Sus scrofa: one gene and its partners. Each later gene encodes a partner of the first gene's protein in a complex. Links are inferred from orthologs where the notes say so. Each region holds a gene or a part of one and is shown in the gene's direction. Other genes may lie near its edges.

What was found.
Region 2: B9D2 (region 1) and TMEM216 share a complex: the UniProt entries of both Homo sapiens proteins name them as parts of the tectonic-like complex. The link is inferred for Sus scrofa from reciprocal best matches to the Homo sapiens genes B9D2 and TMEM216.
Region 3: B9D2 (region 1) and TCTN1 share a complex: the UniProt entries of both Homo sapiens proteins name them as parts of the tectonic-like complex. The link is inferred for Sus scrofa from reciprocal best matches to the Homo sapiens genes B9D2 and TCTN1.
Region 4: B9D2 (region 1) and TMEM17 share a complex: the UniProt entries of both Homo sapiens proteins name them as parts of the tectonic-like complex. The link is inferred for Sus scrofa from reciprocal best matches to the Homo sapiens genes B9D2 and TMEM17.
Region 5: B9D2 (region 1) and TMEM67 share a complex: the UniProt entries of both Homo sapiens proteins name them as parts of the tectonic-like complex. The link is inferred for Sus scrofa from reciprocal best matches to the Homo sapiens genes B9D2 and TMEM67.
Region 6: B9D2 (region 1) and TMEM107 share a complex: the UniProt entries of both Homo sapiens proteins name them as parts of the tectonic-like complex. The link is inferred for Sus scrofa from reciprocal best matches to the Homo sapiens genes B9D2 and TMEM107.
Region 7: B9D2 (region 1) and TMEM231 share a complex: the UniProt entries of both Homo sapiens proteins name them as parts of the tectonic-like complex. The link is inferred for Sus scrofa from reciprocal best matches to the Homo sapiens genes B9D2 and TMEM231.

Annotation. Positions count from the first base shown.
Region 1 is NC_010448.4:49,355,611-49,359,808, reverse strand, and holds the start of B9D2 (B9 domain-containing protein 2), read left to right. Parts: upstream 1-1,388; 5' UTR 1,389-1,629; intron 1,630-2,059; 5' UTR 2,060-2,063; coding exon 2,064-2,151; intron 2,152-4,198. UniProt on the Homo sapiens protein: Component of the tectonic-like complex, a complex localized at the transition zone of primary cilia and acting as a barrier that prevents diffusion of transmembrane proteins between the cilia and plasma membranes.
Region 2 is NC_010444.4:10,119,456-10,123,594, reverse strand, and holds the start of TMEM216 (transmembrane protein 216), read left to right. Parts: upstream 1-1,334; 5' UTR 1,335-1,957; coding exon 1,958-1,994; exon of another isoform or gene 1,995-2,008; intron 2,009-2,650; coding exon 2,651-2,752; intron 2,753-3,328; exon of another isoform or gene 3,329-3,434; intron 3,435-3,553; coding exon 3,554-3,646; intron 3,647-4,139. UniProt on the Homo sapiens protein: Part of the tectonic-like complex which is required for tissue-specific ciliogenesis and may regulate ciliary membrane composition.
Region 3 is NC_010456.5:31,974,996-31,979,121, forward strand, and holds the start of TCTN1 (tectonic-1), read left to right. Parts: upstream 1-1,322; 5' UTR 1,323-1,389; coding exon 1,390-1,609; intron 1,610-4,126. UniProt on the Homo sapiens protein: Component of the tectonic-like complex, a complex localized at the transition zone of primary cilia and acting as a barrier that prevents diffusion of transmembrane proteins between the cilia and plasma membranes.
Region 4 is NC_010445.4:79,414,338-79,418,572, forward strand, and holds the start of TMEM17 (transmembrane protein 17), read left to right. Parts: upstream 1-1,429; 5' UTR 1,430-1,485; coding exon 1,486-1,585; intron 1,586-4,235. UniProt on the Homo sapiens protein: Transmembrane component of the tectonic-like complex, a complex localized at the transition zone of primary cilia and acting as a barrier that prevents diffusion of transmembrane proteins between the cilia and plasma membranes.
Region 5 is NC_010446.5:42,893,075-42,896,584, reverse strand, and holds part of TMEM67 (meckelin), read left to right. Parts: intron 1-600; coding exon 601-700; intron 701-795; coding exon 796-935; intron 936-2,502; coding exon 2,503-2,643; intron 2,644-3,510. UniProt on the Homo sapiens protein: Required for ciliary structure and function. Part of the tectonic-like complex which is required for tissue-specific ciliogenesis and may regulate ciliary membrane composition.
Region 6 is NC_010454.4:53,394,255-53,398,499, reverse strand, and holds TMEM107 (transmembrane protein 107), read left to right. Parts: upstream 1-1,435; 5' UTR 1,436-1,579; coding exon 1,580-1,666; intron 1,667-1,835; coding exon 1,836-1,903; intron 1,904-2,005; coding exon 2,006-2,106; intron 2,107-2,855; coding exon 2,856-2,952; intron 2,953-3,176; coding exon 3,177-3,246; 3' UTR 3,247-4,000; downstream 4,001-4,245. UniProt on the Homo sapiens protein: Plays a role in cilia formation and embryonic patterning. Requires for normal Sonic hedgehog (Shh) signaling in the neural tube and acts in combination with GLI2 and GLI3 to pattern ventral and intermediate neuronal cell types.
Region 7 is NC_010448.4:12,153,812-12,157,321, forward strand, and holds part of TMEM231 (transmembrane protein 231), read left to right. Parts: intron 1-1,829; coding exon 1,830-1,958; intron 1,959-2,302; coding exon 2,303-2,446; intron 2,447-3,510. UniProt on the Homo sapiens protein: Transmembrane component of the tectonic-like complex, a complex localized at the transition zone of primary cilia and acting as a barrier that prevents diffusion of transmembrane proteins between the cilia and plasma membranes.

The DNA of each region.
Region 1 (4,198 bases):
CCCCTTCCTTAATAACTTTGAGCTAGTGACTCTGACTTTTTTGTGTGTGTCTTTTTAGGGCCACACCCACAGCATATGGAAGTTCCCAGGCTAGGGTTCAAATTGGAGCTGTAGCCCCCGGCCTACGCCACAGCCACACCAACTTGGGATCCAAGCAGCATCTGTGACTCATACCACAGCTCACGGCAGCACCGGATCCTCAACCCACTGAGCAAGGCCAGGGATTGAATCCACGTTCTCATGGATACTAATCAGATTTGTTTCCGCTGAGCCATGATGGGAACTCCTGGTGACTCTACCTTTTGCAGTAGCTGTTTTGCTAAAAAGTAGGGGAATAAGTTCCTTTTGGACTTCCTGCCTGGGCTGAAGGAATAAGGCACAGGACTAAGGTTCAACTGGACTTAGTGGGTGGGGAAGGCACTACTCAGGAAATCAGTAGGTGTGAATCCCTCTCAGTCACTCCCCTGGCGCCTGTTACATGGATGGGATGACTGAGAAATGGGGCCATGCAAGGTCACAAGCTACTGACTGAGGTCAGAACCGGATTTTCTGCAGATAAACGGCCTCAGTTCCTCATTTCTCATACCCGTCCTTGGAGCCCCACACCCACCTCCTTGCTCAGAATCACTAACTTCACCAGTCAGTGAAGAACTGGGCAGTATTTCTGAGAAGGGAGTTGGATTTATAAGTCCTTGAAGAACTTAGGAGAACTTTCAAAAGGAAGGGAAACCCCCTCCCCAACTTCTCTGAATTTTTTTTTTTTCTCCAATTATAAGGCAGGAGGTTATACACAATGATCTGAGGGAAATTCCCCCTTGGCTCTGGCTCAAGTCTCTGACTTGTGGTTCCAGTTGGGAGAGAGATTTAGGGGACAAGGAGAACTTAAGGATTTGCTTCTTCTTCTTTTTTTTTTTTTTTTTTTTTTCTTTTTTGCGCTCCCGTAGCAAGCAGAAGTTCCCAGCCAGGGACCAAACGCCTGCCACATCGGTGACAACAAAGGATGGATCCTTAACCCGCTGCACCACCAGGGAACTCTCACTGGATTTGCATATTCTGTTAAGAGAGTATCTGGGTATGGAGTTTCGGTGAGGAACAGGTTAAGGATCCGGCGTTGTTACTGCAGAGGCCTGGGTCGCTACTGTAGAGCGACCCCTGGCCCGGGAACTCCCGCTTGCTACCGGCATGGCCAAAAAAAGAAAGAGAATATCTGGGAGAAAACAGCGCTCAAACGTCCTCAGCCACACCCAAGATGGCAACAGCACCGCCACGCCGCAAATGGCGGAACCTTGGCTAGAAGTTGGAAGAGACGGCTTTCCCAAAATGGAGAGGGAGGGGAGAAAATGTCCATCACGTATTAGTCCCGCCCCACAGACTCCTAAGGCCAATTAGCGACCTGCAGGGCGGGTGCAAGGCCAGGGGAGGAGGCTGCTGTTGTCCCAGCAACAACCAGGGAACCCGGAGGCGGGCGAGTCCTAAGAGGGATTAGTGCCTCAGATCTCTCGCTGTACGGAAGGGGGAGGCGCGAGCCAGGCCTGGGGAGTCAGCACCCGCGGAAAGAGAGACAGGTCAGGCTACGAACTCCAATCCTCGCCGGCGCTTTCACGCCTCTTAACCGTTAGGGGCTCTGAGGTAGGAAAAACGCATGCGCTGGCTCAGAGGCGGGGCTAAGGTCGCCTTGCACTTAAAACGCATGCGCCTGATGAACCTGGGGAGGGGTGGGGGAATCCGAGGGGCGGAGGCGGGGTTTTTGTGCTTGTGGGCGGAGCCATGGGCCCCTTGGGCCGGACTTTCCGCTACACTGAGCTAGAGGAAGAGGTTATTTTGAAGGCAGAGTTAGGTGCCAGCTCCTCAGCTCGTCCATTTTTCACCTCTCTTTTTTCGAGGACTTTCCTGGAGAGGCATTTGGTATTATGGTTAAGCGGCCTCAGTAGTTTGACAAAACTCACTTGGGATCCCAAGTACTGCTCCTTACTTAGTGGGCCTCAGTTTTCCCATCTATTAGGTGGAGATAATAGTACACTTTTCTCACCAAGCTGTGATTATATTTTTCCCCTCTCAGGGCCATGGCTGAGGTGCACGTGATTGGGCAGATCATGGGGGCCACCGGTTTCTCGGAAAGTAGCCTCTTCTGCAAGTGGGGCGTCCACACAGGTATTCCCCGACATGGCTCATTTCCCCACCAGAACCCCTCAGCCTAGACCCTTCACCCTCAGTCCCTGATCCTCAGCTTGCATCGGCTTTCAGAACTCAAACCCTGACCACCTCTGTTCATGCGAATCTCAGGCTTCTTTCTTATCCCTTCCCATCCCATCTCTGAGGACCATGGCTCCCGCTCTCTCACAGCCCCTAAGGAGAGGGGACACTGGGCTAGACACATACCCATCCCCAACCCTCAAAACACTTGATAGCCCTAAGGACACTGTTTGGACTTTATTCATTGTCTTAGCGGTATCCTCGGTGGCTCCTCCGTCTTAATTCTTTCCTTAACAGTCTCTATTTATTCTTTTTATTTTATTTTATTTTATTTTTTAATTTTATTTTTTATTTTTTGTCTTTTTTTGCTATTTCTTGGGCCGCTCCCTCGGCATATGGAGGTTCCCAGGCTAGGGGTCCAGTCGGAGCTATAGCCACCGGCCTACGCCAGAGCCACAGCAACACGGGATCCGAGCCGCGTCTGCAACCTACACCACAGCTCACGGCAACGCCAGATCCTTAACCCTCTGAGCAAGGGCAGGGACCGAACCCGCAACCTCGTGGTTCCTAGTCGGATTCGTTAACCACTGTGCCACGACGGGAACTCCTATTTATTCTTGATGTAAAATAGAAGTTTCCATCTCGGAATTGCGAGGAGAGGCCACCCTACCGTATTCATTTTTCTCTGAGAATGTAGGAACCTCGTTGTGGCTGTCATCCAGGTTCATCCGCGCAGGCCCAAGAGGGACCATGGAGGCCCCAGTTTTCATGCCCTTCATCGGAGATAGTGTGATGGGATGGTGTGGTGGTTAGGGCCATAGGCCACCGAGTCTGGGCTCAAGTAGAAACTCCCTTACCTATTAATTGGGAACCTTTGGACTTGACCTTTCTGACCTTCAGTTTCCTTGTCTGAAAATGAAGCTAATAACATCTAAGAGGTAGCAGAGTGCTGAGGTTAAAAGCACAGAATGCCGGGATCAGCTCTGATTCAACTCCTAGCCTGGGAACCTCCACATGCTGCGGGTGCGGCCCTAAAAAAAAAAAAAAGACAAAAAATAAAAAAGTAAAAGCACAGAATGCCTGGGTTCAAAACTGGGGCTTGCTTATTAATTACGTGGCCTTGGGCACTTGTCTAGACCTCGGCTTCCCTTCTGTACAATGGAAATAATAACACTGTTTACCTCATGGGCTTGTTGTGAGAACTAAATAAACATCCACAGCACTTAGAAGAGGGCCTTTCTTGCAAGTGCTCAGTAAGTGTTTGCCTGGCCTTTGTGAAAACTGGATGGGGGCTTGTTTGTAAAGTCCTAGGTATGTTGCCTAGCACAAATAAATGCCCACGAAATGAGTGTGGCCACTGCCATCATCATCCTTTCAGGCTTGGGGTCCTTTGTAATTTCACTGGTGGGCAGGGTGGTTCAGATTCCCTGGGAAATTGGGGTCCTTCCAGCTGAGTAGATAAGAAGTGGGCTCTGAGAGTTCCTGCTGTGGTGTAGCGGGTTGAGAATCAGGCTGCAGGAGTTCCCCCTGTGGCACAGCAGAAACGAATCTGACTAGTAACCATGAGGTTGCGGGTTCAATCCCTGGCCTCACCCAGTGGGTTAAGGATCCAGCGCTGCCGTGAGTTGTGGTGTAGGTCACAGACACGGTTGGATCCCAGGTTGGTGTGGCTGTGGTGTAGGCTGGCAGCTGTAGCTCCGATTGGACCCTAGTCTGGGAACCTCCATATGCCGTGGGTGTGGCCCTAAAAAGTAAAAACAACAAATAAAAGAACAGACTGCAGCAGCTAGGGTTGCTGCGGAGGCACTGCTTCCATCCCCATCTTAGCAGAGTGTATGCAAGAATCCAAGGCACAGCCATGGTGTAGGTCACAGCTGAGGCTCGGATTCAGTCCCTGGCCTGGGAACTTCCATGTGCTGCAGGTATGGCCATTAAAAATAGAACAACAGGAGTTCCCATCATGGCTCGGTGGTTAACGAATCCGACTAGGAACCATGAGGTTGTG
Region 2 (4,139 bases), on another chromosome or scaffold:
GTCTTGGTCACCTTGCTGAATTCTTCCCCCAAGGAAGATAAGAACCAAGGTCTCTCACTGCCGAACTCAAGCTCATTGTGTTACTCATAGGCCCTGGGTACCAGGGAACCAGGATGCCACAATGATGCTCCTGTGTTTGTTATTTCAATCTTATTGCCTATTTTTAGCACCGATGGGAGCTACTCCTTGCTGTCTATGACAGGAGTCAGCAAAATTTTACTTAAAGGGCCAGATTGTAAATATTTAAGCCTGTGAGCCATATAGTCCTAACAAGTGATGCAACGACTCAGCCTGAAAGCATGAAAGCCTATTACATGAAAGCAGATGTATTTCATGGATGTGGCTGTGTCCCCCCCAAAAAAACTGGAAGAAACAGGTCTTCAGATAGGTGTTTTGGGGAGAAGACTTTATGAACCCAATCCTGGCATCTCCTCATATCTAGAAAAGCGCTAAAATCCTTCATGGTGATGCCTGCTCCTCATGACTAGCGGGAAACTTCACCAAAGGAGAGTAACTTTCTGCTAAATTGTACCACCCCTTTCACCAAAATCACATATATACTGGCATTGCCCCCACTTTTTTGGAGCATTTTTTTTTCCAGAGCTATCTGAAATGCTGCCTCCCAGGCTATAGTCCTCACTTTGACGGCCCAAAAATTTAACTCACAATTCTCACATTGCGCATTTTTTAAAAGTCTACAAGTGTGACATCTTTTTCCTGTCCTACCCTTCCTGACAGTGGGCTAACCCCTATGTCACCCTGAGTCCATTCAAACCCCTTCTTCCTGTGATGGAACATGATGGAGGAAAATGTAAGAAAAAGAATGTATGTATATGTGTAACTGGGTCACTTTACTGTACAGCAGAAATTGACAGAACATTGTATCAACTACAATAAACAAAATTTTAAAAAAGCAAAAAACAACCCTTCTTCCTAGTCCCCTGCCCTGTGGGGTAACACATTTTTACTGCTCCAAATCATAACAAGTTTCAAAGCCCAGTTTACAGGCCATGTCTTGGAAACGTCTCCCAACCCCTACCGAGAGTACTTTGTCTTCTCAACTGCCACTGCACATTGGGGTCAAGTGCTGATTATATTTCATCTTTTGCTCTTATTTATGCTCCTTGAAAGGAGCCTCCAGTTCCGACTAACTTTGGTACCTTCTTCTTCTTCTTTTTATTTTTTTTATTTTGTTTGTCTTTTTAGTTTTTAGGGCCGCAGCCGTGGCACATGGATGTTCCCAGGCTGGGGGTCGAATTGAAGCTGTAGCTGCCAGTCTATGCCACAGCAACCTGGGATCCTGGCCACGTCTGCAACCTACACCACAGTTAACCACAGCGCTGGATCCTTAACCCACTGAGCAAGGCCAAGGATCCAACTTGCATCCTCATAGATACCAGTCAGGTTCCTTTCCGCTGAGCCACAAGGGAAACTCCAACTTTGGTATCTTCTAACTCCCTGGTACATAAATCAGATGCATAGAAAAACCCTACCCCCGCATCCCCTCCCCTCAGAAAAAGACTGTTTACACAAAGGATCCCCAAACTCCACGCCGCATTTGCAGCGCACTGTCGCGCACACTATTTCTCATTTTAAGACCCATGTTAGTAAAGAAACCATGGGACCAGGGCCTATTCACCAACTCTGATCACATTACCACTACTGGCTGCTTCGAACAATTCCTGGTAAATTTGGGATGGGGGCGGGGCGAAAACTGCCCCGCCCTCGGAGTCCTGCAGACGACATCATCTGCTTTCTTATCAGTCCTCTGCCAAAACCCCAGCGAAGTCGGTTCGCGGCCCGCGCTCCTCCCGGCGCAGGCGTGGCCGTCACAAGAGTGCCCCCGGCCCCAGGTAACCATCGAGTGCAGCAGGCGGATAGAAGGGCCCGAATCCAGGGCCGCTCCGTCCCTCGCTTCCGGCAACGCCTCGCTGCTCCAGGAGTGCTGTAGCCGCGTATGCAGTTTCCATGGGGACTGAAGATGGCGCCGCGAGGTGAGGTTCTGGAGGTGTGTGAGTTGCTGGTCCTGATCCCTTCAGTTTCCCCCCCCACCCCGCCCTCCTCTCCCAGCGTCGACCTGAACCCTCCATTCTCCTCACTTGTCCACAGCAGGGTTTAGCAGCCTCACCTACCCTGAGTGCCAGAAGGTCTCGAGATGTGGGTCTCAAATACCCCCAAATCCTTGGCTCAGCCTGTTCTAGGCCGGCTCAATAGGAATTTGCAGCGTGGCTTCACACTGGCCAGTGCTGTCTCTGGGTCCCAGTTTTCCTTCCTAAATAGCGACGAGGTTAGATCCCTGACTTTCACCCCCAAAGCCGAAGCGGTAGAGTTTGATGGCGATTCTGGAAAGGAGGAGATTGAAGGAAACACACACACACACTCACTCCTCATCAGCAAACAGAAGTGCCCCCAGGGACCCTTTCTGTCAGCTGAAACCCCTCCACACTCCGTACGCACACGCGCGTGCACACACACACACACACACACCACACAGACACCTTCTCATCAACAATCAGAAGTGCCGCCAGTGGCCCTTTCCACCAGCTGCGGCCTCCTGTTTCCTCCAAGTTAGACACAGAACCATTCAAATAACTGGGGTTGAGCTGCCTGCCCTCCAGCCCGTCTCTTTTCTCTGTGCTCCTATTTTCAGGTAAACGGTTATCTTCCACCCCCCTGGAAATCCTCTTCTTTCTGAACGGGTGGTATTATGCTACCTATTTCCTGCTGGAACTCTTCATATTTCTGTATAAAGGTAAGGTCTGGGGTTTAACTACCCTTTCCCCAACATCCCTTCCCCACTTCAGCCCAGAGCCAGCTCCCACCCAAAGCCTTATTTTTTCATTCTTTTCTGCTCCCCTGCAGCTCTTCTTCACTGCAAGGTCTCTTCATCAGATGGCTTCCTTGAGAATGATTCAGTAGGAAGCCACTCAGCAAGAATTTCTTGAGTTTGGGAAATGGGGGCTTCTCCCTTCTGACTCTCCCCTGTCACCTCTCTTTGCTGAACTCCACTTTAAGCCCATTGGTGACCCTCAGAAGCTATTCAGCGCCGTATATCCGTGTACATCTGATCTGATAACTGGAGAGTGGCGTCCCCACAGAATCTTTTTTTTTTTTAAGGTTTTATTGAAGTATAGTGATTGCAACTATAAATTGATTTGCAATGTTGCGATAATTTCTGCTGTACAACAGAGTGATTCATTTACACATATCCACATCTCCATTCCTTTCCAGATTCTTTTCCCATGTAGGTTATCACAGAATACTGAGTAGAGTTCCCTGTGCTATAAATAGCAGGTCCCCACTGACCACCCATCCATTCCATATGCAGTAGAGCCCCACAGACTCTTGGAGTTAGGAGTAAAAGCCCATAATTACGAGCCTGCCTCTAACAGACATAGCCGCACCATGAGTTAACGGATCCTGCCCGTATCTCAGTAAGTAGCTCATGGGAAGAGAACATGATAAGACTCATGTTCTCTTTATTCCCAAGTGAGTGGGAGACCTTGTGTGTGCTGTTCGACGTTGTTTGCAAACTCTGGCTTTTGTATCGCAGGTCTCCTGCTACCATATCCAACAGCCAATCTGGTCCTGGATGTGGTGATGCTCTTCCTTTATCTTGGCATTGAAGCAATTCGACTGTTTTTTGGTGAGTGTTGTCCAGAGGCTATTTCCATTCCTTGCGAGATGAGCTGGTATCTGTAACTTGATGAACAAAGAAAAGCACTTAACCTTGGCTCACAATGAGAGAGTGGATCTGGTGGCATATCCCGTTACACCCTCTCTGAAGTTTCAGGCGGCTTCATACTTGGGGTCAAGACTTACCTGTCTATTGCTCTGTTGCGCCACAGGTGGGTGGCGGCATGAGATATTAGATCATTCCTTCCCGATTATCTAACTACAGGAGTGCCTGGTTCCTCTCACTGGTTTCTTGGGAGAAGAGATTTCGTTGTAACTCCATGTCCAGGGCAGTAGATCAGCAATAAGGTCCCCTCCGGTTCTCTGAAAAAGGATTTCTCTAGGACAAGTTTACATCCCCGGAGGTACAGAGCAATCCCTCATGAGTTACCTCATCCCTGAAAACGGTGTTAAAACATACACTGAGGGAAAAAAATAACTTCAACAAAAAGAGGTTCACATAA
Region 3 (4,126 bases), on another chromosome or scaffold:
TTTAATTATTTTGACAAAAATGTCAAAAGTATACCCAACATTCTTGGGCTGGAATACTTCTATAAATAATGCAGTTTAGAACCAAGGGGCTTCCCCTAGTCTGGTCTTCCCATTTTGTAGAGTTACAGTAGATTTGCTTTGTTTTTTTCCTTTTAAGACATAAATCATTACATGCAATTTTTTTTTTTTTTGGTCTTTTTGCTATTTCCTGGGCCGCTCCCGTGGCATATGGAGGTTCCCAGGCTAGGGGTCTAATCGGAGCTGTAGCCACCGGCCTACGCCAGAGCCACAGCAACACGGGATCCGAGCCGCATCTGCAACCTACACCACAACTCACAGTAACGCCGGATCCTTAACCCACTGAGCAAGGGCAGGGACTGAACCCGCAACCTCATGGTTCCTAGTCGGATTTATTAACCACTGCGCCACGACGGGAACTCCCATTACATGCAATTTTTGTCGATTTTTTTTTGTCTGTAAAAAAGTCAAGTGCTCACCTGCCCCCCTTATCACAACATGGTGAAGAGAAGTTATCTGGCCATCTCCTGGAACACAGCCCTTAGAGGTAGGTGATATCCTTGTCATACAGATGAGAAAACCATGGCTCAGAGAGCCTAAGTGGGTTAAGACCAAAATGGCAAAGCAAGTGTGGACAGGTGTGAAATAGAGAAAATTCAAGGATGGTGATGTGATCTCTGTGCTTCAAAATACCCTATTTAGTAGCTTTAGGACAGCAGTTCCCCAAATTTCTGTCCCTCCACTGGTAGCACTGGAACATTTGTTAAAAATATTGCTCTCTGGGGAGATCCCCTTGTGACTCAGCAGGTTACCAACCCCATGAATATCCATGAAGATGCGGGTTCCATCCCTGGCCTTGCTCAGTGGGTTAAGGATCCAGTGTTGCTGTGGTTGTGGTGTAGGCCAGCAGCTGCGGTTCCAATTCGACTCCTAGCGGGGGAACTTCTACATGCCCCCGGTGCTGCCATAAAAAGCAAAAAAAAAAAAAAAAAATTGACCTCTGGACTATGCTCTGGGCTTATTGAGTCAGAATCCTCTGAGCTGGAACCTGGACATCCGCATTTTTTTAAACAAGCACTGCAGTCCGCTTGGAAACTTCATCGGTTATTCACAAGCCCTAGGTCTCCACCGACTTCACGAAGAACGGTGGTCCCCATCCCTCATCCCCGCCCCTCGATCCAGCCCCTTGAGGCTGGTCTAGCCCCGCCCCGCCCACTGTCCTCTCGGCCCGCCCTGCCCAGGCCCCGCCCTCCACCTTCGCTGTCTCTTGCGGCTTTGCGCGACCCTTCCCGTGATGCCTCGCGTCCGGCAGCCACGGTTGCTAAGCAACGCGAGGTTGTCAGCCTTGGCTTTGCGTGGTTCAGCTGGGCGATGGGGCCACGGGGCCTCCCGCCGCTCCTGCTAGTGTTCCTGGGTTGCTGGGCATCTGTGAACGCCCAGGCCGGGGCCACCCCTGTGGTGACTACGGAGGGCTTCAACTCTACGGAGCCGGCCCCGACGACTCTCCTACCCACCTTATCACCTAGGCCCCCTGAGACTCCCAGGGGCCCCAGGCCCTCCTCCGGCCCCAGGCCTACCCCGGTCACGGACGGTGGGTACCAAGTGCCAATTCCGGGGGACCTGCATTGTTCCAACCTGGAGAGGGTAGCCTGGGTGAGGTTGTGATAATAATGATAGTTAACATTTATTGAACACTTACTGTATGTAGGCATTGCTAAGTGTTTCGTAGGCATTAATTTAACAACCCCTAGGTAGATGTTATTATCACTGTTAGGCAAATGAGAAAACTGAGACTCAGAGAAAAATCTTTGAAAGTATTTGCAGTGGTCCTGGATAACATTAACTCTAAAGGTAATAATGAATGTAGTTTTCTAGAAGAACATGAAATTAAATTGGAATTTTCTAGACAATTGTGGAAATTAAGCGCATAGGATATGTTGAACTTTTTGCTTATCAAAAAGAGGGGGAGGGGTAGTTCCCATTGTGGCTCAGCGGTTAAGAACCTGACTAGTATCCATCAGGTTGATCCCTGGCCTCGCTCAGTGGGTTAAGTTTCCTGCATTCTGCACAAGCTGCTGCCTAGGTCAGTATGCAACTTGGATCTGGCTTTGCTGTGGGGTAGTCCGGCAGCTGCTGCTCCAGTTTTACCCCTAGCCTGGGAACTTCATATGCTGCAGCTGTGGCCCTAAAAAAGAAAAAAAAGAAAGGGGTATGGGAAATGTCTCTTTTACTGAAAGTGACTAGGTTAAGGCCTGTGTCTGTTGACTTAAATTGTGAAAAACCAGGATTCCTCTTGTGTTGAGTTGGAGGTGAGAAGGTTATGCCCAGTTCTTAGGATTCATCTTTAGGGATAATTAAAATATTTCTCAGAAAGTGATCTAAACCTTGAGTTATACATTTAGCGACTAATCAGATTTGGCAGGGATGACTTCAGGGGATTTCTGTGACTCCCAGACTGAGTGCAGACTTTTTTGAACATGAATTTTTCCAGGGTGAGGGTTCATAGCAGTAGGTAGTCTCTCAAAGAAGTTTGTGATTGAAAAAAAAAAACAAAACACTGTAAATTTTCTGTAACTCAATAGCAATGCAGTATTTTTTATCCCTTCTTAAGAGAAAGAGATCTTTTCCTAAATTGAGTAAGACGATATTTTGTAAGGAGAAGAGTCATCATTGGTTGATGTCCTGAACTCTAGGACTTAACTTCAGTTACTGAACCATTTCTCCTTTATAAATTATGAGTGGTCTGTAAGAAAAAACACAGAGAGATATACCTGCTTTTCAATATAAACAAAGTGTTGTTTTTGAAAGCTGCTGATTTGGTGAATTAGTAGAGAAGTTAAGTGATACTGCACTACAGCAGACTACAGCAGAGTATTAAATACCCAAAATTCTCTGAGATTTTTTGGGCCGAGTTTCCTTTTAATGCACTTTCTCCCCGAAATGAAGCTATTCTTGACCCATCATTAATAGGGCATGAGTTCAGGGCGTTTTTCCGATGTGGGAAGTTGAATTTGCACTTTCCATCAGCTTTTTAATGGGCCTCTCTTTAGACCTATATAGGTAGTGATAATAAATGACAGCTGATATTTATTAACTGCTTACTGTGTAGCAGGCCTTATGCTAAGCATTTCATCTGTGATGTATCCTTTTTAATACTCATAACAGCTTTATGTTGCAGGGTTATACCCATTTTTCAGGTTGGTGAATTACTTGCCTGATTTTATTTATTTATTTATTTTTTATTTTTTTTTGTCTTTTGTCTTTTTGTTGTTGTTGTTGCTATTTCTTGGGCCGCTCCCGAGGCATATGGAGGTTCCCAGGCTAGGGGTTGAATCGGAGCTGTAGCCACCGGCCTATGCCAGAGCCACAGCAACGCGGGATCCGAGCCGCGTCTGCAGTCTACACCACAGCTCACGGCAACGCCGGACCGTTAACCCACTGAGCAAGGGCAGGGACCGAACCCGCAACCTCATGGTTCTAGTCGGATTCGTTAACCACTGTGCCACGATGGGAACTCCTACTTGCCTGATTTTAGGTCACACTCCTGATATGTGAAAACTGAGGAGAGAAACTGGGCAGCTGTTTGCAGAATGGGTTACAGGTGGAAGAGAAGGATGTTGACTTTCATCTTGGATCTGAGCTCTATTCATTAGTACCCTGCTCTAGGAGCCAAGCGTATAGACATGAAGAGGCTTGAAAGAGCAGCTGAGTGCTACTTAAACCCCACAAGTGCTCAACAGATGCTTGTTGGCTGATTAAGTACACTCACATCTTGAATAGAGACCCTTTTTCCCCCTAAGTAGTTATTAAACACTATTGCTTTGTCCCTAGTAGTCTTATAGCTACCTACCTACAAGGGTTTTAAGTTATGGAAAACAATTCAAGAGTAATTTTGAACACAAAAGGCAGGGTGCCTTAACACTCCTTATTTTTTTATTTTTTGGCAGCCCCACAGGATGTGGAGTTCCTGGGCTAGGAATCAGATCCCAGCCACAGTTACGACCTCCCCCAGAGCCAGGTCAACACCAGATCCTTTAACCCATGGTCTTGGGCTAGGGATTGAACCCACATCCTGGCACTGCAAAGACACCACTGATCTCTTTGCACC
Region 4 (4,235 bases), on another chromosome or scaffold:
TTCTGAGGGTACTGGTAAAGTTAAGTTTCTTTTTTTTTTTTTCTTTTTCTTTGCTTTTTAGGGCCACACCCATGGCATATGGAGGCTCCCAGGCTAGGAGTCCAATCCGAGCTACAGCTGAAGGCCTATGCCACAGCAACACAGGATCCAAGCCGCATCTGCAACCAACACCACAGCTCAAGGCAACACCAGATCCTAAGCAAGGCCAGGAATTGAACCCGCAACCTCGTGGTTCCTAGTGGGATTTGTTTCCACTGTGCCACAACTGAAACTCCAAAGTTACATTTCTTGATCTGGGTTCTTGTTACACCTGTATATTCAGTTTGTACACTTTTCTGTACATAATTGTACCTAACCAGTTTGTCTGTTTGTTTGTTTGTCTGTCTGTCTGAAACGATACATCTTATTTGAGGGAAAGCTAGAAAAATACTAAGTGGTTAAATTTTTTTTTCTTTTTATAGCAACACCTGTGACATATGGAAGTTTCCTGGCTAGGGGTCTAATTGGAGCTGCAGCTGCAGGCCTATGCCACAGCAACTCCGGATCTCTAACCAACCAAGGCCAGGGTCCCAACCCACATCCTCACAGAGACTATGTTGGGTTCTTAAACCCCCGAGCCACAACAGGAATTCCTATTTTAAATTTTTTAAATCACCCACAATCACTATCTAGACATTACTACTAACATTTTGGATTATTTTCTTCTAGTCTTCTTTTGAAGCCACAGTGCTTGTGCCATCTTCTCCCCCTCTCTGCTCCCCATATATTTACACACACACATTTTACTAAATTAGGTTCATTCCTACTTAGTTTTACTTCTGGTTTTTTTTAATTTAAAGTTAACCCATCATTAAATATTCATTGCAAACATGCTTTTAAACTGCTTCAATGTATTTCACCCAATATATATGTGTATCGTATATATATGCTATGTATATATATATAATATTCCTAATATATAACGTATTCCTATAAGAGAGTATGTATGTGTATACATACATATGTGTCTGTATACATACGGCATGCATATATTAAAAAATATTCCTAGGATGTAATAATATCACACACACACACACACACACACACACACACACACACACACACAAGCTACTGGGTCATGAACAGTCTGTTAACTCAGCATTCATTCTATATTTTCTCCCAGAAAGATTGTATCCCACTGGCAAGGTCTTAGAGCTCCTTGTATCACAATCCAACTCTAGTCACTAATTATTATTTTTATTCCTTTTTTAAAATGGTGGCCGTTAAAGCAGGACTTAGGAATCTGCGGTTTGGCATCATGCTGAGGCGCTGGGCAGGAACTGGCTCCCTGCACTCCTCTATCTTCCAGGGCTGCCTGGCGCCTCAGCCCGCAGCGGGGCCGCGCGTGCGCCCCAGCCCCCAGCCTCGCGCGGCCCGGTTGCTGTGGGAACCTCAAAGCGCCACGGTGCCCGAAGACCCAGGTGGGAGCAGTACTGAGGCCTGAGCATGGAGCTGCCGGATCCGGTCCGCCAGCGGCTGGGAAACTTCAGCCGGACCGTGTTCAGCGACTCCAACCGGACCGGGCCGGAGTATAGCGAGGGTCCGGGTGAGTGGCCGAGGCTCAGCGCAGCGCGTGGAGCGGCCAGATTTTGCCCAGACCAAAGATGGCGGTTTCGTCTTCAGAGAGTTCACCGCAGTGCGGGAGGCTCCTTGGAGGAGGGGCTGGGCCTGGGGCTGGGGCTAGGACCAGATATTCGGGGCCAAATACCCAGGCGGTCTTCGGCTGATGGTGCTGTAGCCTCGCGGGCGAATTGCAAGAGGGGCGGCCGACGTGGCGCCAGCCTTCCTCAAAAAATACAAGAACAAAACCCGCCTTCGCATTCCGCGTCCAGTCCCGCGCCCTCCGAGAAGGCTGAGAAGGCCGACTTTGCTTTTCCTCTGCGGCATCCGCCCTGGCATATTATGTCCAGGATGGAGTGAAAACAGCCCAGGCAATCTCCCCGTCCCACCCCACCCCCAACCCCAGTAAAATATCTTTTCCTTTTTTTCTTTTCTACCAGAACAAGTATGTTCCACCACAAGTCCGTTTTCTGGCAGAAAGCATGAAAAGTTTTTGTTTTTGTTTTAATGAACTATTTTAAACGCTATCCAATTCAGAGTGGCAGCTGCCACACTAGCATCGTCTCCAACAAAACTCACCCTCTCCCTGCTTTCTTCTCCTTCCCTATATATAACTCTTGCCCTAAATCAAGTAACAGAATACCATGATGCTACATTCAACATGACAAGTGACAACGCAGTTTCCTGCAGTTTCCCCCTCTTAAATCATGATGATAGACAACATACTGTGAACCAAACCCGTGCGCTTTTTATCACTGAACTGTGCTGGGAAATAGAAATCTTTTCCTTTTGCTTGGTTTAGGGATTTTTTTTTTTTTTTTTTTTTTTTTTTTAAGGAGGCAGAGAGAAGTCTGTTCCCATAGTTTCATTTTCCACGCTGATTACTAGCCTGTCCCTCCAATTTAAGCCTCCATGATTTAGGATGTACAGAGAAAAACATAATGTGAAAAAAAAATTGACTTTTACATTTCTGATTCTAAAGCTTAACAGGCACTAAAATCTGATGATGTAAAGTATCAGGGGTTTTCTGTAAAGGGCCAGATAGTAAATATTTGAGACCTTGCAGGCCATAGATGCATGTAGCAGCCATAGATGATGGTAATTGAATGGACTTGGCAGTGTTCCAATAAAACTTTATTTATGGATGCTAAAATTTGAATTTCCTATGATTTTCAGTGTCGCAAAATATTATTCTTTGATATTTTTTCTCAGCCATTTAAAAATGTGAAAAAACCATTTTTAGCTCACTTGCTATACAAAAACAGGCAGCTGGCTGGTAGTCTGCCTACCCCTGATTTATACTATAAAATGTTTTAATTTAAATTCCATTTATAGAACTCAACTTGTACTTTTGCAAAATTTAGTAAATTCATGTCTTGTGCTTGCTTTCAAAGTTCATTTACATATTAACTTGATTTTCAACTGCATGATTATAAGTTTGATCTCTGAAATATAGACATAGCATAACTCTTAAGAGGCTTGTGTACAAAATTCTTAACATAATAACTTCTTTGCAAAATTTGACTACAGTGTTTGCTCTAAAGTTATTAAAATTTTCAGCTTAACTAATTTATCATATTTTTCCACATTTTCCTCTTTGTGGATCTGAAATAGGTTCGATTATTTGTACTGTAAATACAAGGGTATATTATGACCTTGTCCACAGCTGACCAAGAGTTGTATGGTTGTTATGAAAAAAAATCCTAGGCAGGTGAGTTATCTTCAGATTTAACAGATTTTAAGAATGCATGCCTTGATCAGTGGCAATTTAATCAATAAGTACAAGCAAAAGTAGATCATAATCACACAATGTTTAAAAAGTAGATCATAATAACGAGGGATATTCTTGGAGCTAAAGAAAACCTTGCTATGAGAGACTGTGATTATTTTACATTTTAAAATTGTTAAATGATAGATATAAAATACTCAGCTATAGAGAAAAATAAAAATATACTTTTAAGAAATTTTAGAGCCTTCAGCAGTTAACGAACCCAACTAGGGTCCATGAGGATGCGGGTTCTATCCCTGGCCTCGCTCAGTGGATTAAGGATCTAGTGTTGCCATGAGCTGTGGGGTAGGTCCCAGACTCGATCAGATCCCGAGTTGCTGTGTCTGTGGTGTAGGCCAGTGGCTATAGCTCCGATTTGATCCCTAGCATGAGAACTTCCTATGGCAGCCCTAAAAAAAAAAAAAAAAAAATTTAGTCTTTGTAAATCCATTCTTTTAGAACTGTGGATTTCAAAGTATGTTATCTGTTCTTAAATTGTTAGAATTTTTAGTCAAATTTAGGATGCATTTGTAGGGCTCATTTGTTTCTAATTTATAAAGTCTTTTTATATTTTTTCCTTTTTAAAAAAACAAAGGATAGTTGATTTAGAGTGTTGTGCCAAATTTCTGCTGTATAGCAAAGTGACCCAGTCATATATATATATATACACATATATATAAATATATATACATATATACACACACACACACACACACACACACATTCCTTTTCATATCTTCCATCATGGTCTATCCCTAGAGACCAGATATATTTCCCTGTGCAATACAGTAGGACCTCATTGCTTATCCATTAAAAATCCAATGTACTATCAGTTGTGCCACAGAGCTGCCTTGTAGGGGGGCTCAAT
Region 5 (3,510 bases), on another chromosome or scaffold:
GTGGATCTCATCCAGTTGTGGTTGTTAAGAGCCTGCTGTCCCCACTGATCTGTGAGCTTCATGAAGAGAGGAATCATCCCATACTTAGATTTTTATCCTTTGTTTGATCAGTAACGCTCCAACTAGGACAGTGCCTCAGTTTAAATGTATTCCATACATGAAAAATGTGTTTTTAATCAGAACTGTCAATACCAGAAATAGAAAAAATTAATTACGGTAAGCAAATTATAGTTGAAAATACCTTTACTTATAAAGAAGTTATGTGATCTAGAAAACAAAACATGCTTTTGGAAGCCATGAGAAAGAGTCTGCGCAAGATTCCTGTGTGAGGGGAAGGCAGTGTGTCTCCTTTCATATCCCCATTTCAGAGAAACACAGAAGAAGGAACGGTGAATCAATATGTGTATAAAAATCCTGTGAACTTAGTGATTCCATGCTATTTGATGAGCTTCCGGTGATTCCAAATGATGTTGTAGCCTTATCACTTGCGAAAATTACATATTCTTGTGCTTACAGCATGTTTGTTTCTTAAAGCATCAGAGTTTGTTTCATAACAGGCTTAATGTAGATACTTTTCCGTGTTTTGTTTGTCATTCTCAGGCTCTGCAGTTTTTGCATAAGCTCTTCTCCCAGATCACCATAGACATATTCTTCATCGATTGGGAGCGACCTAAAGGGAAGATTCTTAAAGCCGTTGAAGGTAATGGAAGTAGCCATTTGTACCAGAATTCTTTTGCTACCCCTGTAGTGCAAAGAAGGTGAAACCCTTTTTACTCATTCTATCTCCTCAACTAGGTGAGGGTGGTGTTCGGAGTGCTACTGTTCCCGTGAGCATATGGAGAACATATTTTGTAGCAAATGAATGGAATGAAATTCAGACTGTGAGAAAAATTAACCCACTCTTTCAAGTACTTACCGTCCTCTTCCTTTTGGAGGTATAAACTGTTTGATGTAATTGTGTGCAACTTCTGGGTACCTTATAAATGTTAATTTAATATAATTCCAGCTAAGTTTTCATGCCAGTGGAAGAGTTTTCTAAAAGTTAAACTATTTTGTCAAGTCATTAAAAAGTGCACATAACATGAAATTTACCATCTTAATTAATCATCTTTAAGTATACAGTTCAATACTGTTAAGTACATTCCTACTGTTGTGCAGTCTCCAGAACTCTTTTCATTTTGCCAAACAAAAACTCTACCTATTAAACAACTCCCTCTTCTCCCCTGTCCCCAGCCCCTGGCAACTGCCATTCTGCTTTCCGTCTTTTTGAATTTGACTACGCTAGGTAAGGAGTGGCTTTTAAACCATTGGTTTGTAGCAGACCCCCCTGGAGAGCTTTTGCAGAATACCTATGCCTCACCTCACCCTCAGAGATATGTTCGATTTAGTAGCTCTGTCGTGAGCCCAGGTATCTGTATTTCAAGAACTGCCCCCCACCATGATTCATATTTTCACTCCTGTATTAGAACCACTATTAAAAGGTTTTCTAATAAAGTTATCGTCGAACACTGACTATGGACTGTGTTTTGTGTGAAGAGCTGAGGCTACAGCTTAGTGAGACACAGTGAATGGGTACATGCTTCTGAGCCCTTTACAGTTATTCCATGGGTCTGAGTAGAATTTCTAAAGGAAGTAATCAGTATTGAATATCAGAGTGAAATAAGGAAACTGTTTGTATGGGTAACAGGTTTTCTCAAGAATTAGCTGCTTACGTTAGATGTGAATTATTAACTCATAAATCTATCTGTCTGCCTTCCTTTTTCCTTCCTATCCTCTTTCCTCCTCCTTTTCCTTTTTTTAAAACTAAAAGAACGTGTGTGTCCTTAGGACATATGAACACTATCTCAAAAATTCATTTATAGTAGTGTTTTTAAAGCTTTAAAAGGTGTTATGTGAGAAAGAAGTTTTATAGTCTAGTAAGTTTGGAAAACACTGGATTCAGTAAAGTCCTGTACATTCCTTTACCATAAAACCTCCCAGAGTCTTTAGGGTAGAAGGCATGGAGGTGAGTGAATATAATACACAGACCAGACTTTCTTTTATTGAAGATGGTATCTTCCTCAAAAGATGCTTTGGAAAATATAGTTTTACAGTATAAAAATATTTTGCATAGTGCCTGGCATATGCTAAAAATTCATGAAATGCTGGTTGTTCATAGGTAGTTTACTGAAGAAAGCTTTACTCTTTTGACAGAAATTTTTGAGCTTTGTCGGTGTATATGATAATAAGGTTATATTTGGTCTTTAGCCTTGTTGAAGAGAATACTAAATGAACTAGCTAAATATTTTCTATCACATACTTTGTAATTAAAATACAGGATAATTATTTTCATCTAGATTTTCAACTGATTATACGAACTTTGAATACTTAAGTTTTTCAGCTAAAGGAAAGGGAGGAATAAGGAGTAGGGAGTTGAGAGGATTGTTTCATTTTCAGACCAGAGGAGTTTTCTTTATCCATGTCTGTTTAAATTATTAGTTTTTTTTTTTTTTTTTATTTCAGGTTGTGGGATTCAAGAACTTAGCATTAATGGACTCATCCTCTAGTCTTTCCAGAAGCCCACCTAGCTACATAGCTCCTTACAGCCGCATTTTGAGATATGCAGTGTCTACTGTTCTTTGGCTAGTCATTGGAATTATACAGGTAACAAGAGAGTATACTTTTGAGCAATATTGCCTCTATGTATTTTTAATTCTGTTTACATACTAATCCTCAAATATTGACTACAACATGACTTCTGTAGCATTAAGAAGATGACAAGAACAACAACAATTATGGCTAATAGCTAGTTCTTACATGGTGTGATAATCTAAACACTGTGTTAATTAATTGCATTACACAGATTGACCTAATCTTTGCAGTAGCCCTCAGAGATAGATTCTTTGAGTATCCTCATTTTACAGATGAGGATGCTGAGGCAAAGAAAGGTTAAATATTTGCCTAAAACCATGCAAGTAGAAATTGGTGGAACTGGAATTTGAACGTAGGCAATCTGATTTCAGAGTTCATTTTTATCAGTAGTGGGGCTCGGAAGAGTCTTTCAGAGTCTGCAGCTTTCTAGTCACAGGATTAATTTATAAATGATAGGAATTTCTAAGGTACCCTTAGTCTTTTCTTTGGAAATATAACTTATTGTCTAGCATTTATTTACATATCATTAAACCTCACTCACATTACCAGTACTCCTCCTGAAATCTTCTTTGAAATATTTATTGGAATAGCTGAAACTAAAAATAAATCTTCTCAGATCGTATGACTCTAGTAGAGAATCTTTTCTATGCTTACTTCTGTTATCTTCTTAAAGCTTTAAAAAAAGAAAAAAAAAAGAGAAGGGAATGAAAAGAAGAAAAGAAAGAAGCAGCAGCTATAGCACTTAACTTGAATTTCTGCACTTCTTTCTCTTGTTTACAGATACATCCATGAGTGGGTGGAAAGAGCCCTTCTGTTTGGTTAAAATTTCTTTAACTTTTTAATAAGCAAGGGAAGATGAGACCTCTAGGAAGAGCAGGT
Region 6 (4,245 bases), on another chromosome or scaffold:
ACACACACACACACACACACACACACACACACACACACACACACACACACACGAAAGCCTATTTGTGGCCTGTCAAACATTCCACATCTGCTTTAATTGTTATAGAAACAGGCACAGGAACCAGAAGAAAAGAATACCCATTGTTAAAAATAATGTGCCCTCTTCCTGGGGTGCCAGTGCTGGCACTCCCTGGATGATAAGACTCCCTTCCCAGGTGCCAAGGACATACTAACTCACTGCGTAGGTGCTGGCCTGTTCTTTTTTTTTTTTTTTCAATCTTGAAGAATTGCAGCCCCGACTTGTTTAATATTCTTTGTTCTGACAGGATATAATACAGTGCTGGAAATCATGCATCTTCTGAGCAGTTTCTAAGAGTGATATGGGAAGCAGATTCAGGGCTACTCAGTAGTTTGGCTCAAATGAAATTTTCTTCAATTCTTATTTTAGATCCTTTATTGATTATTATCATTGGCAACGGGAAGAAGAGCGATGATCCGGTAAGAGGGTAGGGAGGTCCCTGTGAGGTTGTGCATATGAGAAATGAACTCCGGCCAGAACTTTCCGTTCTGCCTGGAACCCTTTTGAGGCCCAAAGGTCAGGGAGGTCGCTGATAGTGAGAGATGCTTGGATAGTAGCTGGGCAAAGTCAAGTGCCCACGCCTCAAAGAGATAAGGAAATCCTTGCAGAGTCTGCATCGACACCCTCGCTCCTGGCCTCCCGGGGACGCAAGGTCTCATTCCCTGCCTCCACCCCCATCCCCAGCCCTTTCTGGTCCTCTTTGTTCCCTCTCTTCCCCAAACACACTTCTTGGGGCACACCCTAGTCCAAGAGAGCGGGCCACTTTCCGCGATGTGCAAATCCCTCACCAGTCTGAGCAAAGGTGTCTGGGGCGTGAGGGAGGGGGAACTAGAATCAACGAAGGTGCAGGTATGGGGTCCTCCAACGACCAGGGGCTCTGGGACAACAAGTGGCAGCCGGACAACATAGGCACATCCACCTCTCCACGTTCGGCCCAGGGCACGTGGGAGCTAAAGGAATGCGGAGGAGGGAAGGAGAGAGAGCATCCAGGCCTCAGGCACAGACAGCCGTGTCCGGAGGTTCATCCGGGACAACGCAGCAGGGGTTGGGGGTCGGGCTGCACCCGGCGTGGGCATCCGGAGAAGGGGGGGGTCCCAGGCTAGGCCCGGAGGGTTTCCGTTCGCCGGCGCTGCGCGGGCAGACTGGACGATGCAGGGCAGCGCCACCGCACACTCGGTGCTGACCGCTCGGCTGCTAGTGACCAGGCAACGGATAATCGGCCTCCCGCCGGAATCAAGTACGACGCAACCTGACTTGCAGTCCCGCGACGGCACGCAGCTGCTTGACAGTTTAATGCTCTCGCGAGATTTTCAGAGATCCGGTCGCAGCACCAGCTACCGCAGTTACCAAGGCAACTGGGCGGTGCCAGCGCGAGCGGGAAGGAGGCGAACGTCGAATTTTTGTCTGCTAGCCTAGGAGACTTGAGGACTGGCCCTCCCCGAGTTTCCAGCCCTAGAAACCCCGGCCTCTGCTCCAGGCAGTACCCCGTCCCCTGGGGGCCATGAGCCGGGTCTCGGGGCTCGTGCCCTCTCGCTTCCTGACGCTCCTGGCGCATCTGGTGGTCGTCATCACCTTATTCTGGTCCAGGGTAAGACCCACGGCCCCGCTCCGTTAGTCCACGCTCCCACCTTGGAGTGGTCCTGGCCCCACTCTACGCCTCTCCCCGGGGGCTTACCCGGTCGGGTGCTCCCCCCCCCGCCCCCACCCCGCCACCGCCGCCCCTCTCTCAACTTCTTTCTTTCTGCCCTGCTCCTCAGGACAGCAACATCCAGGCCTGCCTGCCTCTCACGTTCACCCCTGAGGAGTATGAGAAGCAGGATATTCAGTGAGCACCTGGGGCAGGGTGGTCAGAATTAAGCAGTCGTGGAAGTGAAGGGGTCTTAGAAAAAGTTCAAGAGGCCTAAGCCCACACCCTTCCTTTCTGCAGGCTGGTGGCAGCGCTTTCTGTCACCCTGGGCCTCTTTGCAGTGGAGCTGGTCGGTTTCTTCTCAGGAGTTTCCATGTTCAACAGCACCCAGAGCCTCATCTGTATCCTTTCTTCCGTGCACCTTTCCTGCACCGGCCATTTTCATCACAGCTCCTCTCCGCCACCTAACTAGGCCTTTCTGGTACATTGGTGTTTGTTCTAGTAGGCAAACAGAGTCCCTCCAGTTGAGAAATCTTCTTAGGCACTGTGGGAGATTTAATACAATCTTTGGGCATCTGTTAAGCTCCTGCTATACATCAGTCACTGGAGATCTCAAAATGGGAGTAAAACACAATTTTCTACCTTGAGGAAGAGTTAGACACAGACAGACATCTGTAATTCCGTGTGATAAGCACTGTGCCACGGGATGTGTAAAGATATGAAGCTTGTGGGGACACAGACGAGACAGAGGACGTGAGGGAGATGGATTAGGGAAGGCTTTGGTACTTGAATTGTGGTCAGGGAGGACCAGGGTGCTGGAAAGTGATTCCAGCAGAGAGTAAAAGGTCACAGAGTGCTTGGAACAGATGGGGAGGCTACTACCTCACCTGAACGGTCCAGGCTAGATATGGGGTGGGGGTTGCTTAAGGTCCCAGCTGTGCAGACTCAGCTCCTCTACTCACATGGCTGCCCTAAAACTCAGGATTCAGGGCTGCTGGCTCTGGCCTTTGCAGTGTGGTAAGAGGAGCAAGAGGTGCCCCGCTTCCTAGGATGTAAACCTGAATGTAGATGCCAGCCCCCAAACCGGCCTTTTCTGACCCATTACTACCTATTGATCCAAAGGATTTCCTTGACTCTAGTGTGTTCCAAGCCATTGGGGCTCACTGTAGTGCATCTGTGGCCCTGTCCTTTTTCATATTTGAGCGTTGGGAATGCACCACGTACTGGTACATTTTTGTCTTCTGCAGGTACGGTAGCACCCAATGTTTGGGCATGGGAAAGCAACATTAACTCTAAATCTGAAGATTTCCCTCACCCAGCTCTTTACTCCATGTATAAAATATCAGATCCACTCAACATCCTTTTTTGAAGTCCCCTCCCTCCTACATTTGGGGGTGGTATCTCTGGCTTGGGGATTTGGATTTTTTTATTGGATGAAGGGGACCCCGAAACCACCACCTATCTTCCGCAGTGCCCTCCCAGCCGTCACTGAAATAGCGTTATTCATCAGCGTCTTTGGGCTGAAAAAGAAACCTTTCTGATACCTTCATGACCGGAAGTACGGATGAAGGCTGGAAGAGCGAGGGATCGCTCACCGTTCCTGGAAGAAGGAAGTCAGAGGCTCCAGCTCTTCCTCCAAAACTGCGTCATGGAGGGTATCAGTGTAATAGTAATTATCTCTCGAGTCTGAAATTATGTGTGCTTTGCTTATAGTTCTTTGTAATAAATATATTTTTAGAATATGATCGACTTATAAAAATTTCAGATGAAAATTGGGGTGGCCAAAGTGATGGCTGTTTTCTAGGCCTGCGGACTGTAAAATAGTATATTCGCTTTTATTTTGGTTATTACGGTAGAAGTCTGGCGGGAGGGTGGGCGGGGATATGTAAATAAGGCGGTACTTACGGGTGGGACACCCGGCTGGTAAGTGAGTGGAGCATTCTGGGAGGAATTAGCTTATCCATTTTTGATAGCCAAATGGAAAAACTTATTTTAAAACATTTGGAAATAAATGTACCAAAATATACAGAAGAACCCAAGTAGGCTTAGTTGCTCGGACCAACGCAGTGTTTACTCATCCTATCTTTGAGAGGAATCTTTTTCCCAGAGTGCGGAATGTCACGCTAAACGTTCTTATCGTCAGGTAGGATAATCCTTACCTGTTCCTCCTTCGGGAGGGCAGAATGGAAAATGATGATTGGAGCTCGCATGATTCGTGATTAACGGCTCTGCGTAATCAGGACTTGCAACACCCTGATTGCTCCTATCTGATTCTTCCTGACGATCAGCGCTTTTTATCAGAGTCTTCACGGTTAGAAAGCTGTTGTTGTAGGGAAGACGTTGTACTTCCTATTTCTTGCTAGTACTTTCTTTTCAATTGTGGCTCTTGTCGCGGATGTTAGTGTAGTGCTAACTCCTCAAATCCCTTCTGCCGCGGAGCAGGCTTCCTTTTTAGTCTCAATGGCTGCAGTTTCCACCGGAAGGTTGGTCCAGGTTCTGAATCCACTCAGTAGTCTGCAGGGAACTCCCTGCTGCTGCTG
Region 7 (3,510 bases), about 37 Mb from region 1:
GCTGAGTCTGTTTGAGGAATGCATTATGATTAGGATGTTTCTTCTGTTTTAAAAAGTTGACTTCTAGGAGTTCCCGTCGTGGCGCAGTGGTTAACGAATCCGACTAGGAACCATGAGGTTGCAGGTTCGGTCCCTGGCCTTGCTCAGTGGGTTAAGGATCCGGCATTGCCGTGAGCTGTGGTGTAGGTTGCAGACGCTGCTCAGATCCTGCGTTGCTGTGGCTCTGGCGTAGGCCGGTGGCTGCTGCTCTGATTAGACCCGTAGCCTGGGAACCTCCATATGCCACAGGAGCGGCCCTAGAAAAGGCAAAAAGACAAAAAAAAAAAATTAAAAAGTTGACTTCTAGAGAAATAGAAATCAGTTCTGATGTGCTGTTGAAATGTTCCATATAAACTCAGGCCTGTTTCCCAGGAAAACACCACCAGCCAAACAAACAAGCAAAAAAGATCAAATGAGACAACAAAAAACAAAAAATGCATCCAGGGAGTTCTCTGATGGCCTAGCAGGTTAAGGCTCCTCCGTTCTCACCACTGTGGCTCTGGTCACTGCTGTGTGGTGCAGGTTCAATCCCTGGGCCAGGAACTTCCACATGCTGCCTATGCAGCAAAAAAGAAAAACAAAAACAAGAGAGAACTTGAAATAAACATTGCAAGAATTCCCGTCGTGGCACAGTGGTTAACGAATCCAACTAGGAACCATGAGGTTGCGGGTTTGATCCCTGGCCTTGCTCGGTGGGTTAAGGATCCGGGGTTGCTGTGAGCTGTGGTGTAGGTCACAGACGCGGCTCGGATCCTGCGTTGCTGTGGCTCTGGCGTAGGCCAGCGGCTACAGCTCTGATTAGACTCCTAGCCTGGGAACCTCTATATGCTGCAGGAGCGGCCCAAAGAAATAGCAAAAAGATTAAAAAAAAAAGAAAGAAAGAAAGAAAGAAACATTGCAACTGTCATTAAAAAAGAAAAGAGAAGAAATAGCAACAACAACAACAAAAGACAAAAAAAAAAAAAAAAAAAAAAAAAGAGGGGAGTTCCCATCATGGCTCAGCAGTTAACGAACCTGGCTCAGATCTTGTGTTGCTGGGGCTCCGGTGTAAGCCAGCAGCTACAGCTCTAATTCAACCCCTAGTCTGGGAATCCCCATATGCAGTGAGTGCGGCATTTTTAAAAAAAATTTTTAAAAAATTTTTAAAAAATTTAAAATTAAAAAATTAAAAATTTAAAATTAAAAAATTTAAAAAAATTTTAAAAAAATTTAAAAAAAATTTTAAAAAATTTTAAAAAAAAATTTAAAAAAAAAATTTTAAAGTAAAAAGAAAAAGAGGGAGTTCCCGTCATTGCTCAGTGGTAACGAACCCAACTGGTATCTATGAGGGCGCAGTTTCAATTCCTTGCCTTGCTCCGTAGGTTAAGGATCCAGCTTTGCTGTGGCTCTGGCATAGGCTGGCAGCTGCAGCTCCAATTAGACCCCTAGCCTGGGACCCTCCATATGCTGCTGGTGCAGCCCTGAAAAGAAACAAAACGAAACAAATGGAAGGAAAAGAAAAATGCATCCAGATGTTTTCATTGTTCTACTGCCACATCCGGTTCCCTGTAAGTTGGTCCCAGAGTTATCTGAGAAGTGCCAGCATGCAGCTCAGGGGCCATGCACACGTGTCTCTTTCCTCGGTACCGATTTATGTTTCCGTGTGTCTGGATTTATGTTTGTCTTCTCTTTCTTGAGGGAGACAGTGCCTGTGTGTGGCAGAACTGCATCACTGCGTGTGCCCATCAGTGAGATGGGGTCCTCCCAGCCTTATTAAGGACCAGGGTCCCGGCCTTTTTTGCATTTCCTAGACTAGAGAAGAAGACAGGAACCAGGATGGGAAGATGGACGTGTTACATTTTAAACTGGAGCTTCCCCTGCGGTCCACGGAGCATGTCCTTGGTGTGCAGCTCATCTTGACCTTCTCCTACCAACTACACGTGAGTCACTTCCTTGGAGAAGCTCGTCCTCTCCCTTCTGTCTTTCAAAGGAACAGAACCCTCCCCCCTTCTGTCTTCCAGGAACACCCACCCTGCAGAAGGCTCTTTTTCGGAGGCGGTGTTCGGATTTTAACTGCTTGAGTTACATTTGAATGGTTTTCATTGAGGTCATATTAATTTCCATGCACGATGCACAGCTCAGAGGGCTCGAGGCCGAGTGCTTCCTCCGTGGCTAAGCTGGGGACAGGAGGGACAGCCAGGGACAGCCAGGACAGACAGTGACACGCAGAGCCTAGAGCCCTTTGGATCTGACCAGAAGGGATCTTCTCTTCTCATGATTTCAGAGGATGTCGACCTTTATGATGCAGAGCATGGCGTTTCTCCAGGCCTCCTTCGCGGTTCCGGGGTCCCAGTTATATGTGAACGGAGACCTGAGGCTGCAGCAGAGGCAGCCTCTAAGCTACCGCGGCCTAGACGTGCGATACAACGTAAGGAGGCTCCTCGCCGCCCATCTCTCATTTCTGTATGTCAGTGTTTCTCAAGGTCTCGGACGAGGAAGAAAGGAAAGCTGGGAAATGGCATCTCTCTGTGGGTGGCACAGCAAAGGATTGCCGAGGAATTCTTGCCACACATCCTTTCCAAACATGGAGACAGGGAGTTCCTGATGCGGGGCAGTGGGTCAAGAATCCAACGGCAGCGGCTCCGGTCACAGCAGAGGCCCAGATTCAGTGCCTGGCCGGGCACAGTGGCTTCAAGGAGCTGGCATTGCCACAGCTGTAGTGTAGGTTGCAGCTGCCACTTGGATTCACTCCCGGCCCAGCAGCTTCCATGTGCCACATTTTTTTAAAAAAATGTAGATACTTACCCCTGAATTTATATCTGAAAGGAGACGGAGGGAAAATCTGATTTTGTCTTTATCTAAGAACTGAATTGTCTATACTTTTTGGTTGTGTGTGCGCAAACACACACACACACACACACACACACACGTGTGCGTGCGGTGTATTCCAGGAAGTCTTTTCCAGTGCATGCAAAACATTTGAAGAAGAATACCAGCCTCCCTTTGTCAAGCATATAACACATGCCAGCCCTGAGTTAAGAGGTTTAAATCTATCATCTTATTTAATCCTCACAACCTCCCTACGAGATGCCCTCTCTTACAGTTTCCCAGCTCTCTAGCCACTTGTCCCATCATTGTGCCCTTGGCTCCTCTCTAGCCAGACTGGCCTTTTTGCCCTTCTTCAGGCCACACAGCAGCTCTTGCCTCAGGGTTGTTGTACTTAACTCTTCCTCTGCCACGGATCCACGGTGCCTATTCTGCCGCTCCACCCTGGGCCCCGCTCAAACCCCTGAGCACAGTCCTTTTGATGCTCCATCGAAAGGGCATTCACAGAGTTCCCATTGTGGCTCAGTGGAAATGAATTTGACCAGCATCCATGAGGACGCAGGTTCAGTCCCCGGTCTCGCTCCATGGGTTAAGGATCCGGCATCACCACGAGCTATGGTGTAGGTCGCAGGTGCGGCTCACATCAGGCGCTGCTGTGGCTGTGGC